Yarrowia lipolytica: one gene and its partners. The protein of the gene in region 1 binds, or shares a complex with, the protein of each later gene. Links are inferred from orthologs where the notes say so. Each region holds a gene or a part of one and is shown in the gene's direction. Other genes may lie near its edges.

Region 1 (4,585 bases):
TATCCTGCCACCTCATACACCACTGGTCACGAGTTCAACCGAGGAATCTGGAAAGCTTTTGGCGACTCCCGTATCGAAGACTTCTGGCTCCGATACTTCACTAACACGACAAACATTACTCATTCTAGAATGGAGATCCACACATCTGGATATGCGTGGAGATACATTCGAGCAAGTATGTCTCTTGCTGGTCTTCTTCCTCCTTTGACAGACAATGGATCTATGTTGTTGGATGGAGGTTATGTTGATAACCTGCCTGTTTCGGAGATGAAGGCTCAGGGAGCCTCCGTGGTATTTGCCGTAGATGTCGGATCTATCGACGATACCACTCCCATGAACTACGGTGACTCCTTGTCTGGTGCATGGGTCATGTGGAACCGATGGAATCCCTTTGGTCGACATCCTAATGTTCCCAACCTGGCAGAAATTCAGGCTCGGTTGGCATACGTATCATCAGTGGGTGCTCTTGAGAAGGCTAAGCACACCCCTGGCGTCATCTACATGCGTCCCCCCATTGACGATTTTGCTACTCTTGACTTCGCCAAATTCCTTGACATCTATAGGGTAGGTAACAAGTACGGCCACAAGTTCCTGACCGAGTTGCGAGAGGATGGCAAGTTTCCTGCTATCCCTGGAATGGAGAATGTTAAGACCAAACATAAGAGAACCATTGCCCGGCGAAATAGTATTTAGGGAGGTTCATCGTTCATCGTATATAAAATAGCTTGTATAAATAGATATACTGTCATAAATCGTGAGGTGAATGCTGGCGTAGTTGACATTTCTCCTATTTGTAATTGCAAGTAAAAGTATTTGTGATCCTGACTCTGTTAACCATTTTTGAAATTCTATAGACAACGGTAGCGACCTTGATGTTCTACTCAGAATAGGACGATCTATGCAGAACCTGTATATTGTCACAATCCTTACACCGCAATTTCATGCGAATACACCTAGGGGCGCCTGTTTCCAGACGTCCTCTAGCCAGGTTACGGCGCTCACAAGCTTGCACTATTCAAACCATCCATTACTATAATACATGCCCTAAGGTCGCTTCGGGGGGTTAGAGGTGACCAGAATGACCGAGTCTCCTCGAACAAAAAGCATTTCGCTCTTCTTCTTTCGGGCCTCCAGTTTTGGACTGCCCTCCACGTACTCGAAGACTGTTTCCTCTACGTTTCCAAGCACCATACTGCAGTGGATATCGTAGGCCTGGGTTAGTAACAGAATGGACTAGGACAGGTCATTAGCGGACAGCAACAGACATTACATTTACACATGTATCATGTTCAGTGGATATGTATCCGATTCATACCGATCTTGACTTGCCTGCCATCTTCTCATTGTCCTTCACATTGCTACTCACATGCAAAAGTCCATAAAGCTCTCGTCCTCCACGGAGCTTGACGAAAACGTTCTCGTTGAGAGAAAGACCAATGAGATCAAGGGGCTCAGAGCCGCCTGAAGTGTCGACGTCGGTCATTGTGATGTGTGGTGTGTCTGTCGATAGATGCTGATTAGTGTCTGAGATGGTGAGAGTATGGGGTTAGGGTAGGTTGGGAGGAGTGTAGAGGTGGCAGCTGGATGTGCAGAAGACGATGTGGTATTGGTATGATAGGAGGTAGTGGTTGCAACAGGGGATGTCGTTAGTGTAACTGATCTCTTAATAGGTGTCTAGTATGTCGCATGGTGGTCGGTCTATATAGCGTCAACACCGTTTCAGGTGACTGTAAGTATAGCACTAGTAGTGGGTAGAAATGTGAGTGGGTATAACTACATACTGTACCAGTAGAGAGAGAATATGGTGCCGAACATCACAAGGAAGAGGGACCATCATGTTTTGGAAGTCCTGACATTGAAAGAAGTCAGATGTTAAGGACTTGACATCTTTTTAATGAACAATTAGGTGCCCTGAAGACCATTTCTATTACTGATCCTCTCTACACGCGTCACATGACATGAAACCCTATTCTGCTAGCACCTACCGAGCGAAATTTGGGAGGTGAAATCCTGTGGGAGAATAAAGTTCCAGATTCCCAAGCGATTTTTTCAACTGACGACTGTATCCAACAGAACATACACAACCATGATCCGATCGCTACACACATCGGCTGTTCGACAGGGTCGTAAGAAGTGGCCCAAGCCGCTGCCCGGCTCCGTGACCGGCAACGAGTTTGTCAAAAAGCTGGAGCTCAAGGCCCCTATTGCGCCTGCTCTGGACAATATCGAGGTACCCGATTCGCATCCTCTGTGGCAGTTTTTTTGCAAGGACAAGAAAATTGTACGGGATCAGCGGAGCTTTGACAGCAGCACGCGACCCTGGAGTGTGGCCGAGCTGCGACGAAAGTCGTTTGAGGATCTCCATGCTCTGTGGTACGTGTGTCTCAAGGAGCGAAACATTCTTCTGAAGGAGGAACGAGTCACCACCCGAATGCACTTTGAGAACCAGAACGGTGGTTACAGAAGCGAGCATGACCGAGTCGGCGAAACCATGGTCAACATTCGACACGTACTGGCCGAGCGATACAGAGCGTTTGAGGAGGTCCAGCAGGTGCTTCCCGAGGTGCGAGCCCAGGCCAACGCCGAATTTGACGAAAAGTACGTCACTGCTGACGCCGTCTACGACAGCGAGCTGTCTCTGGAGCTCGAGCGACACCTTGTCGCCTACTACGGCTTCTCCACCGACCCCCGAGCCAACGCTGGCGTGCAGGTGGACGAGAAGATTATCGAGGCCGTCAAGTACGGTGCCAAGCTCAAGTACGAGCGATACAGCGGAGCCACCGACGAGAACGGCAATCCCATTGCCAACCACGGCTTTGTGCACCAGCCCAAGCGAGACATTTTTGAGCAGTACCTCATGTTCCTGGCTAATGACACCACCGAGGGAGTCGCCGAGGCCCTCAGCTACATCAAACAGTACCGAGAGTCCAACCCTCTGCCCGTGGCTCCCTGGAACGCCATCCGGGTGCTGCAACATCTTGTGGAGGAGAAGATGGGCGCCGCCGCCGTGTTTGAGGAGGCTCTGAAGAACAAAAAGTTGGATCTGTCCGAGCAGGACATTCTGGAGAACATTCCTGCCCAGTTCCTTAACAAGCTCCCCAAGGAGTGATGTATATAAGAGTCATGTATATAGTAACGATATGATAACAGATAGTGGGTAGTGTGTATGAGTGGGAGTAAATGTTGTATATGGGTACAACTGTACTACTGACGATAGTGTACAATTCATGAGTGTTACGGCTGATGAGAATGCTGTGTAGCCTGTCTGAGCGTACAAAGCCTTTCATGGAAGAGGATGTAACTACGGTTACCTCAACCTCCATTACAGTATGTACTTGTAGATCGAAACCATCTCCACTACGAGTACATTACAGTACATTACAGTATTGTCTGTCCAAAAGTACCCTACGCAAGTATTGGTTCATCATGACTTACTGAAATTAGTCATCAAATCGTCAAATGCAAATATATACAGTCTCTGAGTGGTAGAGGATTGCAATGGAGCTTGTCGCTTCTAACCACGGCTCGTTACGCTCTCCGCAGTTAGCCCTCAACAACATCATCAACATACCCCAACTTTTCCTTCCGGGCCTCTCGTCCTCCGTCAGGAATAGCTCCAAAACGGTTAAATGGCCACAGCACCTTGGGACACTTGCCATGCATGAGACCGAGTGACACTGGACCGAAGTTGTTGGAGTCGAACGAATGGATGTTGTCGCCCTCGACCCACACGTGGTTAAAGGGCACAAAGCACGTCTTTTGCGGGTACGGGTGGCGGGTCACAATCTCGTCGCCTCCCACTCCAAGAATCCGCTTGCACAAAAACTTATCCGGATCCATGGGGTTTCGCAGCAGCACCACGTCTCCGACCTTGAGGTAACCGGGCTGTTTGATTAGGAATTTCTGCAACAGCACAATGTCACGCTTGCCAAGATTTGAGTCGGGGTTCAGAGCAGGGGTCATGCTGTTGCCGCTGATATGGCCGAGAAAGTAGGCGTGGTCCAGAAAACATATTGCCACAGGGATCCATGTTGACCAGATGAACAATCTCATAGCCGGTTTCTGGCGCAGTGCCGCCCACTTGCGCGACTTTTGCGCAAACCAATCCTGAAAGCCCATGCTGTTGAAAGAATGTGTCGTTCGTGGGTCTGTGCAGTGTGGTGTGTTCAATGTTCCATATGCATGGCGATGGTTTAAAACTGGGAATGAAATTTCCTGGAGTGAGTGAATGCTGGCGGCCAGAGAGTGATACCGATGTTGTAGAGAAGACATGATAACGAGGAAAGATGGATAGAAATTATCACCTTCGGATGCTTACATTGCGCAGAAAGCCAGAACACGTATGTGCTGTGACATCCGAACAATGGGGTATGTTCTGGTAAAACACTCCCTAAACGGATCACTTGCCATAACTTTACAGTATGTACTTTCTTAGTACATCTGCAATTTGAGAAAGAATGAGTGTGCACTAATCTCGGGATCTTAGAGCTATAATCTGGAACTTGGTAATATTTAATGACTATAAAACGAATTCTACCTAGCCTGTTGGATTTTTCTTTGTCATATTCTTTATCAGTGCCGGGAT
Region 2 (4,113 bases), on another chromosome or scaffold:
TTTGGCAATGTTCTCCTCGATGTTGGCGACCTCGTCAATCAGATCCTGAATACCCTCGATGATGTAGGGCCGGATATCTCGGTTCGCCTGTCGCAAAGCAGCCTTGTCCAGCACCTCCTCCTTCTTGTCGTTCTTCTCCAAAAGACCCAGCATGCTGCCGCTAAGCCCGCCGTTTTCGGCCTTGTGGCCGTGCTGCTCCTCCCGAATCAGTGTCAGCACTCGCGATACGATATTTCGACACGCAATCTCCTTGGGGGCGGTCTGCACCAGACGCACTCCCAGGGCACGAATGTCCTTGACTAGAGAGTCAATGTGATTCCATCTTGCGGCAGAAACAAACCGCAGAAGCAGTTGTGCCGTGGCCAGAGCAACTGCGTGTGATCCCGACAACTGTCGACGTTTCAGTTGGCTATGTTAGTTTCGGCTTGGTGAGGATGTCGTGATCCATGTCACGAGGTCTCGCAACAGCCCCGAGTTTAGGCATCGAGCCCTCTTTTTCCAGCAAGAAGCCCTCAAACACTCACCTGATGAACTGCTCAACGAAAATATCAATTTCTCGGTCGCCTCGGTTCTGACTGGACATTTTTTGGTGATGGAACTGATGCTGGAGTTTTCTCAAACTTTGCATATTGGACCTAAATTTTGATGAGAGTCACGTGTCATGCACGGTACAGTAGTGATAATCTATGGAGTCAAGAAAGTGCAATAAATGAGGAATCTGTTGTATAGAAAATTCTCGGACACAAATGATCGAACGAAAACATTGGATCGATTAGGATATCTGTGCTGTTATACTACCCTTGGCGTTTTGAATAGCGTGCGTGTTGTTTCACACACAGAGATATCTGTACATACGGCGGTTCTATGGAAGCCAGGAGCACTTCCAAAAGTGGAGAACATTTTGTACAATCTATCATGTATGCTTCGATGTCATACAGTACCATCCCCAGGAACCCTACTCCTTCGCTGCTGGCATCTGCTTGTCAATAAATAATCTCTTTATAAATAATTGTTAACGGGTAGAGGCCCAGAGAGTCTTTATCGGCTCATATAGACTCGGTGTCGGACTCAGACTCACTTTCGGATTCGCTGAAGTCCATACCAAAGAAATCTCCACCCTTGGCCTTCACATTCGAGCTGGAAGATCCTGCAGAAGATGACAAGGCAGTATCAATTTCGGATACAGCCAGAGCAGCCATCTCCGCGTCCTTTCGCATCTTCTGAACGGCATCTTCATGGTCTTCCAGCAGTCGTGTGTTTTCAAACTTGCTCTTTCGACTGGACCCACTGGTCTTTTCCTTCTGCAGAATGTTGAGCAGCTTCTGTTTCTTCTCTTCGGCCTCCTTCTTCTTGATCTCGTCGGCTGTGCTGAGGTACTCTCCAAGCTCCTTGGCCTGCCGGATACTCTTCATTCGGCGGCCGTCCAGCGTTCGAAAAGAGTCGTTCTCCGTCTCCGTCTTCTTTCTATTCTTCTTTCGGGCCATACGTCCTCCCTGGGCTCGCAGCATGGACCCGAAACCACCCTTTCCACCGCAAAGACGCATATTCCAGCGCAAGTAGATGTCACCAGCTGCAGCAGACAGGCTCTCAAGACTCTGGCCTCCTCTGGTGCTGAGATATCCCTTGGCTGTGGCGTTAGGGGGCAGTTCTTTGAGAGCGCTTTCGATAGCGACGTGGACATCATCATCAGCCAAAACGTGTTTCTGGATATCTCTCAGACCACTGGGGGTGGAGATGAATATAGTGGGCATGTCGGTGGTGGTGGCGAGGCGAGGGTTTTGTGTACCGTGGTGTTGTGCTCTGGATGGATGTTGGTGATACAAATTATATTATGGTTCAGATTATGGTGCATGGTACGAGTGAGGAAAAACTCGACCAAGCACTACATTACTTGTATGTATGTACCGATCCAGAATAAGCACTTTGGACTGGATGAGACTGAATTAGAGCGGTTGGTAACTGGTTGTGAGAAAATAATATGGGTAGAATAACAGCACCAAGACGCCATCTTCACAAAAACATTCTCGGTATCAATTTGTTTGTCACGATCTTCTCTTCTGTACCGTCTTGAGAGCCCTAAACTGTAGAAAAACAAGAAAACATTACAAAACGATTCAACAAAGGCAAACTCATTGTAGAAAGACGAAAATTACTACAGTATTCGAGCCATATGGTAGAGGAACACCACGGACGCATCGGCTCATTCATTCTTATAGCCCCTCTCCCTTTGTTTTCTCATCGTCTCGGACTCATCTTCCCAGCATTACAAACCGCAAACCCTAACCGCGACTGAAAATTTAACCAAAATAGGCCCTAGAGCACACCAACAGTCAGTATACAGCATCACCACACTTGCACAAAAATGCTGGCTCGACTGATCCGTCCATCGCTGGCAGCGGTGCGTCTGCCCGTGATGCAGATGGCCACATTCAAGACCATCAAGCGAGAGCCAAAGACCGTCAACATCTACGAGCGACACCCCCGACGTCTGGGTACCGAGAACGCTCTTACACACGTCACTGACAAGCTGATGAAGCAGTTTGATCCCCAGGGCGTCAAGATGGAGCTGATGAACCCCAAATCCGCTGACCGAATCAAGCCCGGAGACATTGTGCAGATCAAGACCACTGATGGCTCTCTGTTCACGGGCCTCACCATGGTGGTGGACTTCCGAGGACTGTCCTCTAACCTGCTGCTGCGATCTAAGATCACCAAGATCGGAATCGACCGACGATTCAAGATCTTCTCTCCAACCGTCGAGTCTGTCAAGATTATCCGACGGGCCACCCAGAAGTACACCGCCGAGCGTCTGTACTACATCCGAGGCCACAAGCGTCTGGATGTTGGCGATCTCGAGGCCTCCGTCAAGAAGGCAGCCGCCAAGCGAAAGAAGTTCCTCTTCAAGTAAATGTATATAGTGAATGGAAGGATATGGAAGGAGAGCTGAGAGTAGGAATGATGGAGGGCTGGATCACTACATGTGCTTGTATGTGACATGCCAACATGGGCAGCTTGCGAGCAGCTGTGTCACAACTCCAGTGTTCCAATATTCGAGCATGGTCACATTCAGTTCCTTACAGTGTCAGGCGGCTTCTGAATCAATGCCAAATACACAAGTGCGGCCATGTGAGATCATTTGTTCCCCTTTGCTCTAAATTACAGTAGCTTATACAGTGGAACATCTCATCTCTCGAGGTTTATCTCCTTTTTCCAATAAACAGTATCAACTAAACTGTCCCATTAGTTAAGACTCAACATGAACACTATCTATCCACCAATATTGTTTTAAATTTGCTTAAAAGCTGATACATCTGACAATATCACCAAATGAAACAATAAACACTCCTCCGATCCTCCCTCGGTCCCTCAATTCTCCGCCTTCAACACTGGCCATATCGTTAACGACTCAAGTCTGAAAGTTACTTTGCCCCGAGTAAAAGCTCGTATGACAAAACCTAGCAACATCGAAGTTCCAGCCTCTCATTGGATGGTTGGTGGTGTGACATCTATTTACACAATATAGAGACTCAATGACGGCCACAACAATACTACCAGATTGACAAACACCAACTTGCACCTTCAAACCCAAACCGTCAATCAGGCAACTTCTAGAGATGCTCATTTCAAGCACTTCCAGAGTGGAAAACTTGCTTGCAACCATGTGAAGTTATTGCATGAAAACGAAGGGATGTTCAAAGGAGTGGAAAGTGGCGAAAAAATAATTTTTGAAGGAGTAGAATGAGGAATTGGTGCCGAATTGAACGCCCCCCAGCGATTGGTATTCACATCATTCGCTCCGCTATCATACCCCTACAATACCTTTGTCTTAATTCCGCTATTGCCCATTAAAGTTACAAGTAGGGTAAGGGGGTTCTGCAAAAGTTTTAAGTGGTTGTCCCAAAATCAAGCTGTGCTTCCTTCTCTGATTACACACCCCACAACGCGAAATGTTCTTCAAAACGCTTGCTAGTGTGCGACCCGCCGCCCAGCGAGTGGCCACCTCCGTTGCCAGCAACAAGGTCCTCTTTGCCCGAGGTTACGCTGCCTTTGACCGATCCAAGCCCCACGTGAACATTGGAACCATTGGCCACGTTGACCACGGAAAGACCACTC
Region 3 (4,994 bases), on another chromosome or scaffold:
AATATCTTGAAAGCGTGGGTTTGAAGGTAGAGTCTGCTCCTACAGGAGCGCCTCAAAATCACCATTCGCAATTGGAGGCGGATTATCCAGTGAGTGACAAACCCACAATTGTCGGAACTGGCTCGTCCAAGTTGTCTTACCTGGTGTCCAAGACTCTTGTTCTTGTTAAAGATCACAAGATCATTGTTTTTTACGAAGACGTGGACTCAGCCGTCGCTGTTGCTGAGGCCTTTGAAGCAGTAGGGATCAAGCACCTCATTTACACGACAGACAAGGTTTCAAAGGAGAGACGCGCCCAGTATCTCGCCACGTTTGAAGCGACGGACAACTTCCAGGTACTTCTCATGAACATCAACGCTGCTGCGCATGGTCTCAACATCACCTCTGCCTCGTGGGTATTCTTTCTTTCTCCCGTGTGGAGACGAGACATCGAAGCTCAGGCTATCAAGCGAGCTCACCGTATTGGTCAAAAGTCGGAGGTGCACGTAGAGACCCTCGTACTCCAAGATACTCTGGAGGAAGATATTTATCGACGTCGAACGGAGATCTCAGATGCTAATGACGAAACCCCAAAGGAAATGGTTGACGACGACCAGCTGCGAGAAACGCTTCTCAACTACGCTTTAACATCCATGGAGAATCTTCACAAAGGAACGACAGACGAAGTCGCGTTCTTTGACAAGCCTGTCCCGCTGTATATCAAGGTCGATAAACACGACCAGTTTGAGAACTCTCTGGTTCACTTCGAGGGTCTGCCGGTGAGAAAGAAGAGGAAGAAGACTGTGGTTGCTGATGGATTTGCATCTTCCAAGAGGAGTAAGGGAAACTTGGTTAAAAAAGAAACTACTGCAAATAGATAGCATTTTTAATACTACAGAAGTCGAAGTAAGCGTATAACATTCAATCATTTAAATCATGTCTATTTAGATGGGCTCGCTAAGGACGTGGTTGAGTCGAGCAATCTTGGAGGCGACAGAGACGTCAACGGTTCGCTCAGCAACCTCGACAATGAGACCACCGAGGATATCGGGGTTAACCTTGAGGTTGAGCTTGAGCTCACCCTCACCAACGAAAGAAGAGCCAGCAATGGCGGCCTGGATTCGGTTGACGGTCTTCTTGTCGAGCTCGGAGGCAGAGGTGACGGTGGCCTCAACGAGACCCTTGGATGCGTTGACGAGAGTCTCGAACTTCTCAATGATACCGGGGATGAGAGCCAGTCGGTTGTTGTCGGAGATGACGGTCAGGAAGTTGGTGAGAGTCTTGTCTCCACCAACGGCCTGGGACAGGACGTTGACGACAGTCTGCTTGTCCTCGTGAGAGAGGGTGGGGTTAGAGACAATCTGGGCAACCTCGGGCTGCTGAGCGAACACGTCCCGCAGCTTGGCGAGAGAGCCCTCAGTCTTGGAGAGGTCAGACTCCTTGGCGGCGGCGGTGTACTGAGTTAGTAAATAGCAATAGAGATTGGAAGTGTTATCTGGAGTTGGCGTGTTGGGAATTGACGTCGAGCCTTGGAAGAATGTACGAAGTTGGCATGGGAAGAGGGATTGCGCATGTCGTCTTGTTACTCCATAGAGTGTGTGTTACCCCAACATTGAGCAATTAACCTACAGTGACGAGGTTACACGAGGTTACACGCAACAAAAAGGTTGACAAAACACGATATCGAGCTCTGAGAGCTGCTCAATTCGTCGTTAAATCAGCCAGCTGCATGTTGCCTCCCATTGATCCTTCCTCTCCTCCTCTCCCTTCCTGCATTATGTTGAGTAGTGTTGTGCTGGCCTCTACTACAGTACCACCATGATTGCATCCATCCACGTGTCAAGGGTATCATTCCAGTCGAATTGCATCTGCAACACGACCCATCAGGCCAATTCAGTTCTTGTCAATTCCTCGCTGTCGTCGTTTCCAATTGCACCGTTTCCTCCGGGAAAACCGTCCCCTCCATCCTTCCAAAAAACACAATTATACCCACCAGAGCAGTAGCGTAAGTACCGTCGAGGCCGAAGAGCTGGACGGGGACCTTGACAGGGGCGGCGGCCTTGGTGGCCATGGTTCGGGCCATGGGCCGCATGGACATCATTCGAATGGCTCGGGAAGCGAACATCTTGAGGTGTGGTGTTGTGTCTGAGCTGAACTGTGTCGATATGTACACGGGGGAGGAAAACGGGGCGCACCATTTTTCGGTTTGAGCCAATGGGCGTGCACGCTGGGTGGTAGCGTATTTCTGGGCACGCCTCCACACTATAGAGCCCGTACTTGTGGTACCGGTTGGGAGGAATCGTAAGCGGTAAATCAGGGTTGGGGTAGTGCAGGTGCGAAATTTCAAATCATATCACCGTGAACAAGGTGCCAAAAGCGAAAATACTAAACCTCCGTACCGTCGCCCCAACCTCGACAAAATGAACCGACTCGTCTCTCGACACCTGTCGGCCCGAATTGGACGTATCGGAGCGATCCAGCCGGCCATCTCGCTGGCTCCCTTGCGGGCCTTTTCGACCTTTCCCAGACTGCGACAGGAGCAGCAGCCCCCCGTGGCTGAGGACTCGTTTATCGACGAGGAGATCAAGGGCGCCACTCCCAAGCGTCAGCGGGTCCGACCCACTCGAATGAAGCCGTTTGTGGACTCGGAGGCCGCCATGTTTGCCCGAAACACCAGTGTCAGCGACATCACCTTGGTGCCCGAAACGGTCGATCTGACTGCTCTGGAAAAGCAGGATATCTACATGAAGAGCCAGCGCAAGATCACCAAGGCCGCCGTCAAGTTCAAGACCATGACTCCCATCTCGCCCTCCATGCGATGGTACAAGGCTGCCATCTACCCTTACCTGTGGAAGGGCAAGCCCCACCGGGCTCTGACTGTGGCCCGAAAGGCCCGAAACGGTCGGTGTAGCAACACTGGCCGAGTCGTGACTCGACACCAGGGTGGAGGACACCGACGACGAGTGCGGCTCATTGATTTCTTCCGACAGGAGACTGGAGAGTGCGAGGTTGTGCGGATCGAGCGAGACCCCAACCGAAGCGGCCACATTGCGCTCCTCAAGAACAAGGAGTCCGGCAACTTTTCCTACATCACTGCTCCCGAGGGTACTCGAGCCGGTGACACGGTGCAGTCGTTCCTCAACGGCATCCCCCAGAACATCATTGACGAGTTCCACGGCCAGACCGACCCCGCCATGTTGGCCTACCGACTGTGTCGAAAGGGCAACTGTCTGCCCATGTGGATGATCCCCGTGGGTACCGTCATCCACGCCATTTCCACCGAGCCCCACGGCAAGGCCAAGTTCTGCCGAGCTGCCGGAACCTACGGACGTCTCATTGGAAAGGAGCCCGCCAAGAACAAGGCCATCGTGCGAATGCAGAGTGGCGAAGAGCGATACGTGCATCTCAAGGCCTCGGCCACCATCGGTGTGGTGTCTGCTCCTGACCATCAGAACGAGTCGTTCGGAAAGGCCGGCAGATCGCGATGGAGAGGTATCCGACCCACCGTGCGAGGTGTAGCCATGAACGCCTGCGACCATCCCCACGGAGGTGGACGAGGAAAGTCCAAGGGTAACGTGACGTCGCGATCCATCTGGGGCGTGCTGGCCAAGCGATACAAGACCCGACGAGGCAAGCACCAGAACCCCAACAAGCTCAAGGATCGACCTCGATACAAGGAGCAGCGAAAGTAATGTATATAGTATAAGTGAACGGGACCGTATTGAACGAACGAACGAAAACGACTGACTCAAAAGAGTGACCAAAGTATGTACTGGTATGATCAGCTGCCATGGAACTGCAATATATATTGTTGAACCATCTATGTATGTTAACACAATCCATACATCAAGACAGAGGTATAATGTAGACAAAGCAGAGACACGGAACAGAGGGCTTCGTGCAAGTATGATACAACTACTTGTGCTGCACTCGTACCAGTATGGCGGTGGTGTAAGTGGTTGTTAATGTTGCACGTATCCAATCATGCTGAGCGAGCCCTGGAACGAAGAACGCTGCATCTAGTTACTTAGTTAAGATTGTTTGGTTGGTAATAGTTGGAGATAATTCATGCTGATGGTATACATTTCAGGGTTGCTGGCATGTTAGCAAGAAACAAATAGTATCATTACATACAGAATATACAAGATCTGAACAAATAAACGACAATATTTTGCTTTGTAATACTGTTATGCCTCAGTATTCCAGTTTGCAAGATGTGAGTTAGGTTTCGTTGGTTGACGCGTTGTTGGTGAATACTTATACCTTAACTATTAGTCAAGACACATCCTGCAAGTAGTCAGCCTTGAGCCGCGAATATGCCTACTACAGGATCAGAAAAGGCACATACAAGGCACACAAGACGCAATTCAGATACAGTATTCAAGGTGTCTGTCCATAGATATGTCTAGTCTTTATACTATATACGATACTCGTACTTCATGGACCAAACCCAAGCTGGCCCACTGTGTTCCCCTTTAAAAGTCTACATTCACCCAAAAACCCTAGCCCACTCAATAAAACCAATATATATTATAATACTTGAGAAGAACACTTCTCTTTTTTGAACCGAGCGTCGAGTTCATTTGAACCTCTCTTTTTCCTTTAGTGAGACTCATTCCAAGAGTTGGAAGTGGCAGCTTCAGGATGAGCCTCAGCAGGAGCACCTGGAGGAACAGAACCAGGGGCGCCTGCAGCAGTGCCAGCAGCAGCGCCAGCAGCAGCACCCCCTTCACCGTTCATCATCAGATATTGGTACCAGTCGCCAATATTGAGCGATTGAGGGGCGTATCCAAATCCACTGGCCGCGGTGGGCTCGTCCTCGGGCGACGACTTGTAGGTGCCGCCTTCGGTGTGGCTGGCTCCGTCGGCGTGGGCAAACATGTCCGGAGGAAGCGCGCTGGTGGCGGGCTCCTGGAGCTGCGACTGCAGGTTAGACATATCGCCAGTCACGTCGGGGAAAAGCTGCATGGGCTGGAACGACTCAAAGAAGGTGTTCGAAGCCGGCGGGGTGTTAG
Region 4 (4,343 bases), on another chromosome or scaffold:
CTGCCCCTGAACAATGTGCTTTGCGTGCAGCAAAGGTGATGAGGCGTGATGGATGCAAGCGGTGCCGCGAGTTAGACCAGTGGAGGGAGGAGATTACTGAACGTACAGCACAATGAAGCCCCCGACCGGCATATGTCCACGCATCAGGAGATGTGCTGATGGGTCGGTACAAGTAGACGGCGTGCTTTTAAACAACAGTTGTGGAATGTCCAATCGAGCTTCGGTGGATAGCTGAGTCTTGTGGGACCCCTCACTTGAAGAAGAAGCCGTATAGTTATTGGCTAATGCACAGTGTGCCCGACAGCAACACCAGATTACTTTTTCTCATCACATCCATTTGACTTGCTACAGCTCAACTGCTAAGACCATGTGCAGGACATGCACCGAAGGGGACCCTTTAAGGGGAGCCCGAACCCTGGGTTGCCCGGTTGGGAATGGACTGTGATCCAAGTGGACGCCAAAACGACAGGTCCTGATAGCGTGGACGGCTGTGTGGAGCTAGCTCCGGCCTCTAGGCGAGCATAGAAATGGCTGTTATCTGTGGCTCTTGCGCCAACCACAGTCCCATAGTCTTATCGAGCTCGAAACCCTGAAGCCCCGACCCCGAAACCCACACAGTTTCACATTTACACCTAAATTCGGACACCCCTTCTCCCTCCCCCCATATTACACTCACACTCTCTTCCTTCGCCCCACACGATATGGAATAATGGACGAAGCGTTTCATTTGCAGCCCCACACCCACGTCTCGTCCAAAAAGGTGGTCGACGTGGGTGGCATCCGCACCATGGTCTACGGCCTCGAAGAGCTGCCCAAACGGTGCAAGGCCGTCGGAGTGCTTTACCTGGCCCATCCCAGGCTGCAGAACTACATGTACACCGAATATCTGGCCCACGAACTGCTCTCTCGGTGTCGCGAGGCAGCTGTGGACCGGTCGCCCGAGGCCGACCAGCGAGACCTGCCTGCCACCAACACCGGGATCGAGGCTCTCAAGGCATCCCGACCGCATGTGACAAGAACCGATTCACACACCTCGCGACGGCACTCGTACACGCCCTGGACAAACTACATTGCCGTGACGTTCGATCTGCGAAACCACGGCTCGCGAACTCTCACGGCCCAACGGTCTCTTGATTGGGAGGCAGGAAACGACACCCATGCCGTGGATATGATGTCCATCATCGACGGCTCCACAGACGACCTGCTGCTGGTCATGCAGTACCTGCCAGCAGTGCTGGACGCACAGCTCCGCAACGTGGCACCCAAATGGTACAACATTGTGTCTGGAGTGTCACTGGGAGGCCACATTGCCTGGCGATCTGTGGCCCGCAACAAGGACCAGGACATTTTTGCCATTGCACCAATAATCGGATCGCCCAGCATGCGCACGCTATTCGAGGACCGGCTGGACCAGCACCGGCAAAAGACAGGCTCCCTCAAAAACACCAACCCTCAGTGCCAATACCTGATTCCCGAGCCATTAAAGGACATCATTGCCCGTGACGACGCACGGGTATTTGACATGTCTACAGACACACATGTCTTCATTGCCACCGGTGAGGACGATGCGTTGGTCAAGGACTCATACTCGCATGAGTGGATCGAGCATTTCAAAAAGAATGGCGGTAGCCCCGAGTACGTGTGCCAGGAGGGCGTGGGCCACGTTTGCACAAACTACATGGTGACGCGCTTAGCAGAGTGGATTGTGCGGATTACCAGCGGGTGAGTGACAGTTGGTGCGTGTTGAACAACGCGTAGTGGGAGAGGTGATTCTGGCTATTCGCATTTTTTTCTTTTTCGTCCCCGCAATCGACCAATAACTAATACTAGCAAACCTGGTAGCAAGGTCTAGGTCCGCATAATCGAATATTCAGGGTGCACATCGAGGGGAAGACACAAAAACAACGACGACATTACGATTGAGGCGAACATTGGAAAAATGGTGGGTTCTCTAATCCACAGAACGAGTAATATATCATTGCATGTGCTATACCTTTTAGGTGACCTGGTGTACCGTAGCATGTGTATGACTGTGTACTATATTGATACTACAGTAGGCATGAGTTGTATTTTATCGGGTGAAATCTTTAAAAACTATAGTTCAGGTTGTACTTTGTTCTTTGGTCGGCCTTTGTATATAAATACTTAGAACTGTACGTACTATAACAACAGGACGGTACCCGTATGAAGGGGTACAAGATAAAAGAGTAAGATATGGATGCCGAAAGTTCTAGTCGCTCGAAATAAATCTCCTAATCCATTTTTTTACTCGCGCTGCTTTGATGGTTATAAATCACTATATTTATTTATCCCAGCACCACTGCTCCTCCCGCTCTGCTCACGTGACTCCAGGGTAAAATGTGCACCTGGTGAAAATTCAAAAATCTGCAGCACCATAACCCGAGACGAAACACAACATGATCCGGCGACTAATTCCAGGACTGACCTCCGGGCTACGACGGGGCTTTGCCTCCGAGGCCTCCGGAGCTGCCAAGCAGGCCACCGTCGACACACTGCCCGGCGCAGCAAAGTTGCCCGAGTTCGTTCTCACCTCGGTGCGACAGTTTCCCTCTCTTGAGCCCACACGTCTACAGCCTGTCACCTCGCAAATGCTGGGTGCTCAGGTCCACAAGGATCTGCTGTGGAGAGCCGTGGTCTACGAGGCTGATCGACAGCGAGTAGGAGCCTCCAATCCCCCTGGTCGAGAGCAGATGGGCTACTCTACCCGAAAGCTTCACAAGCAGAAGGGAATGGGTAAGGCCCGAGTCGGTGATGCTGGTTCACCCACACGAACACAGGGAGGTTTCGCGCTCGACAGAAATGCCCCCAACAAGATGGCCACCGGACTGCCCAAGCAGGTGTACGCCTCGGCCATCCGAGCTGCCCTTACGTCACAGTACCAGGAGGGTCGACTTTTTGTAGTTGACGGCCCCTGTGAGCTGCCAGAGTCCGTCAAGGACAACACAACCTTTGGACAACAGTGGCTGCAGGGCGAGCTTGGCTTTGGTAAGAAGGAGATGACCGTTTTCCTGGTTGACACCGAGCGACCCATTCTGGACTCTGTGCTCGGAAAGGACAACCTCAAGGCCGACATTGTGCCCAAGGAGTTCATTGAGGTGCGAGACATTCTCAAGGCCCGAAATGTGGTTGTTGAGTACGACGTGCTCAAGTGGCTGGCCGCCAAGTATCCCACCCGGGATCTCTTCGGCTCCTTCAAGCCCTGGACTAATTAGTGTATATAGTATAAGCATTTTGCTGTTTGATGGCGGCGTGGTAGTCGAGGTGGTGGTTGTTGTGTGGGATACGGTACGAGTACATACTGTACCGGTACAGATGTGTAAGTACGTGCTCGACGATTGTTTTGTACGCTAGTGATATGCTGCTGGCTGGTTGCTGGTTGTCTTGCAAGAAATGAATTAATTCGATATATAAATAACTAGTGTCTGTATCGGAAATAGGGAGACCTGTCGCCCATTTCAGACAGCTCGGCACTGGTAAGATGCTCACATTCGCCCGACTCAATCTTGGCCTGCTTCCTCTTGTTGACAACGTGGTAGCCAAAGTTGAGCACAATGAGAGACACGATTCCAATGCAAACAAACATGATCTCCATACCGTGACCCAGCTTGAACTCGGGCTTGTCTTCGGCTCGGTAAATGTTGGACGCAATGGCCCCAGAGAGGTTTCCAATGCCAATCTGGATGGCCATAGCTACAGCTCGTTTGTATGTACCTGCGACGTTGTTGGACATCCACGAGACAATAGCGGGCAGAGCTGGGTACAGTCCTAGTGCGATGAAGTAGCAGCCCACGTAGACTGCAGTTGGTTTTTTGTGAGACAGGTTGAAGGCCAACAAGTAGCCAAACAGCATGAATAGCAGGTTGACGAGAATGAAGGGAGATCTCTTACCATATCTGTCCGAGAACCAAGCTTGAGTCACCGAAGCTATAGCAGCAATCACGTAGATAGGGATAGTCATGAGCTGAGCTGTGGAGGAGGTGTATCCCAGGTTGTTGACAATGGTGGGAAGGAAGAGGGAGATGCCGTAGAGAGGAACCACAACTCCGAAGTAGAGAAGCAGGTGGACGTAGACCTGGATATCGGTGAAGGCGGCCCAGACGTACTTCCAGTCACGAGAGTCGTTCTGCGCTACCAGTTCACCCCCGGCACTATTGTCGTTGCCATCATACTTGAGTCTCCACACGACAAACTCCCGCTCTTCTTCGGTGAGGAATCGAGCTGTTTCAGGGAAGTCATGGACGAAGAAGAAGGCGATGAAGGCGACCACAACCGTAGCAATTCCCTCGAGAATAAAGATCCATTGCCATCCGTGAAGTCCAGCC

Evidence for each region.
Region 2: YALI1_B14680g (region 1) and YALI1_F31744g share a complex: the UniProt entries of both Saccharomyces cerevisiae proteins name them as parts of the mitochondrial large ribosomal subunit. The link is inferred for Yarrowia lipolytica from reciprocal best matches to the Saccharomyces cerevisiae genes MRPL4 and IMG1.
Region 3: YALI1_B14680g (region 1) and YALI1_D15744g share a complex: the UniProt entries of both Saccharomyces cerevisiae proteins name them as parts of the mitochondrial large ribosomal subunit. The link is inferred for Yarrowia lipolytica from reciprocal best matches to the Saccharomyces cerevisiae genes MRPL4 and RML2.
Region 4: YALI1_B14680g (region 1) and YALI1_E24343g share a complex: the UniProt entries of both Saccharomyces cerevisiae proteins name them as parts of the mitochondrial large ribosomal subunit. The link is inferred for Yarrowia lipolytica from reciprocal best matches to the Saccharomyces cerevisiae genes MRPL4 and YML6.

Annotation. Positions count from the first base shown.
Region 1 is NC_090771.1:1,465,524-1,470,108, reverse strand, and holds YALI1_B14680g (mitochondrial 54S ribosomal protein uL29m), read left to right. Parts: upstream 1-2,086; coding exon 2,087-3,109; downstream 3,110-4,585. Other genes in the region: YALI1_B14733g (uncharacterized protein), read left to right, coding at 1-693; YALI1_B14686g (uncharacterized protein), read right to left, coding at 1,045-1,212, 1,367-1,483; YALI1_B14658g (uncharacterized protein), read right to left, coding at 3,544-4,272. UniProt on the Saccharomyces cerevisiae protein: Component of the mitochondrial ribosome (mitoribosome), a dedicated translation machinery responsible for the synthesis of mitochondrial genome-encoded proteins, including at least some of the essential transmembrane subunits of the mitochondrial respiratory chain.
Region 2 is NC_090775.1:3,172,115-3,176,227, forward strand, and holds YALI1_F31744g (mitochondrial 54S ribosomal protein bL19m), read left to right. Parts: upstream 1-2,362; coding exon 2,363-2,908; downstream 2,909-4,113. Other genes in the region: YALI1_F31725g (uncharacterized protein), read right to left, coding at 1-409, 525-583; YALI1_F31733g (uncharacterized protein), read left to right, coding at 1,236-1,991; YALI1_F31760g (uncharacterized protein), read left to right, coding at 3,948-4,113. UniProt on the Saccharomyces cerevisiae protein: Component of the mitochondrial ribosome (mitoribosome), a dedicated translation machinery responsible for the synthesis of mitochondrial genome-encoded proteins, including at least some of the essential transmembrane subunits of the mitochondrial respiratory chain.
Region 3 is NC_090773.1:1,572,062-1,577,055, forward strand, and holds YALI1_D15744g (mitochondrial 54S ribosomal protein uL2m), read left to right. Parts: upstream 1-2,399; coding exon 2,400-3,671; downstream 3,672-4,994. Other genes in the region: YALI1_D15696g (uncharacterized protein), read left to right, coding at 1-860; YALI1_D15734g (uncharacterized protein), read right to left, coding at 924-1,436, 1,973-2,104; YALI1_D15792g (uncharacterized protein), read right to left, coding at 4,582-4,994. UniProt on the Saccharomyces cerevisiae protein: Component of the mitochondrial ribosome (mitoribosome), a dedicated translation machinery responsible for the synthesis of mitochondrial genome-encoded proteins, including at least some of the essential transmembrane subunits of the mitochondrial respiratory chain.
Region 4 is NC_090774.1:2,432,376-2,436,718, reverse strand, and holds YALI1_E24343g (mitochondrial 54S ribosomal protein uL4m), read left to right. Parts: upstream 1-2,417; coding exon 2,418-3,233; downstream 3,234-4,343. Other genes in the region: YALI1_E24360g (uncharacterized protein), read left to right, coding at 710-1,726; YALI1_E24318g (uncharacterized protein), read right to left, coding at 3,437-4,343. UniProt on the Saccharomyces cerevisiae protein: Component of the mitochondrial ribosome (mitoribosome), a dedicated translation machinery responsible for the synthesis of mitochondrial genome-encoded proteins, including at least some of the essential transmembrane subunits of the mitochondrial respiratory chain.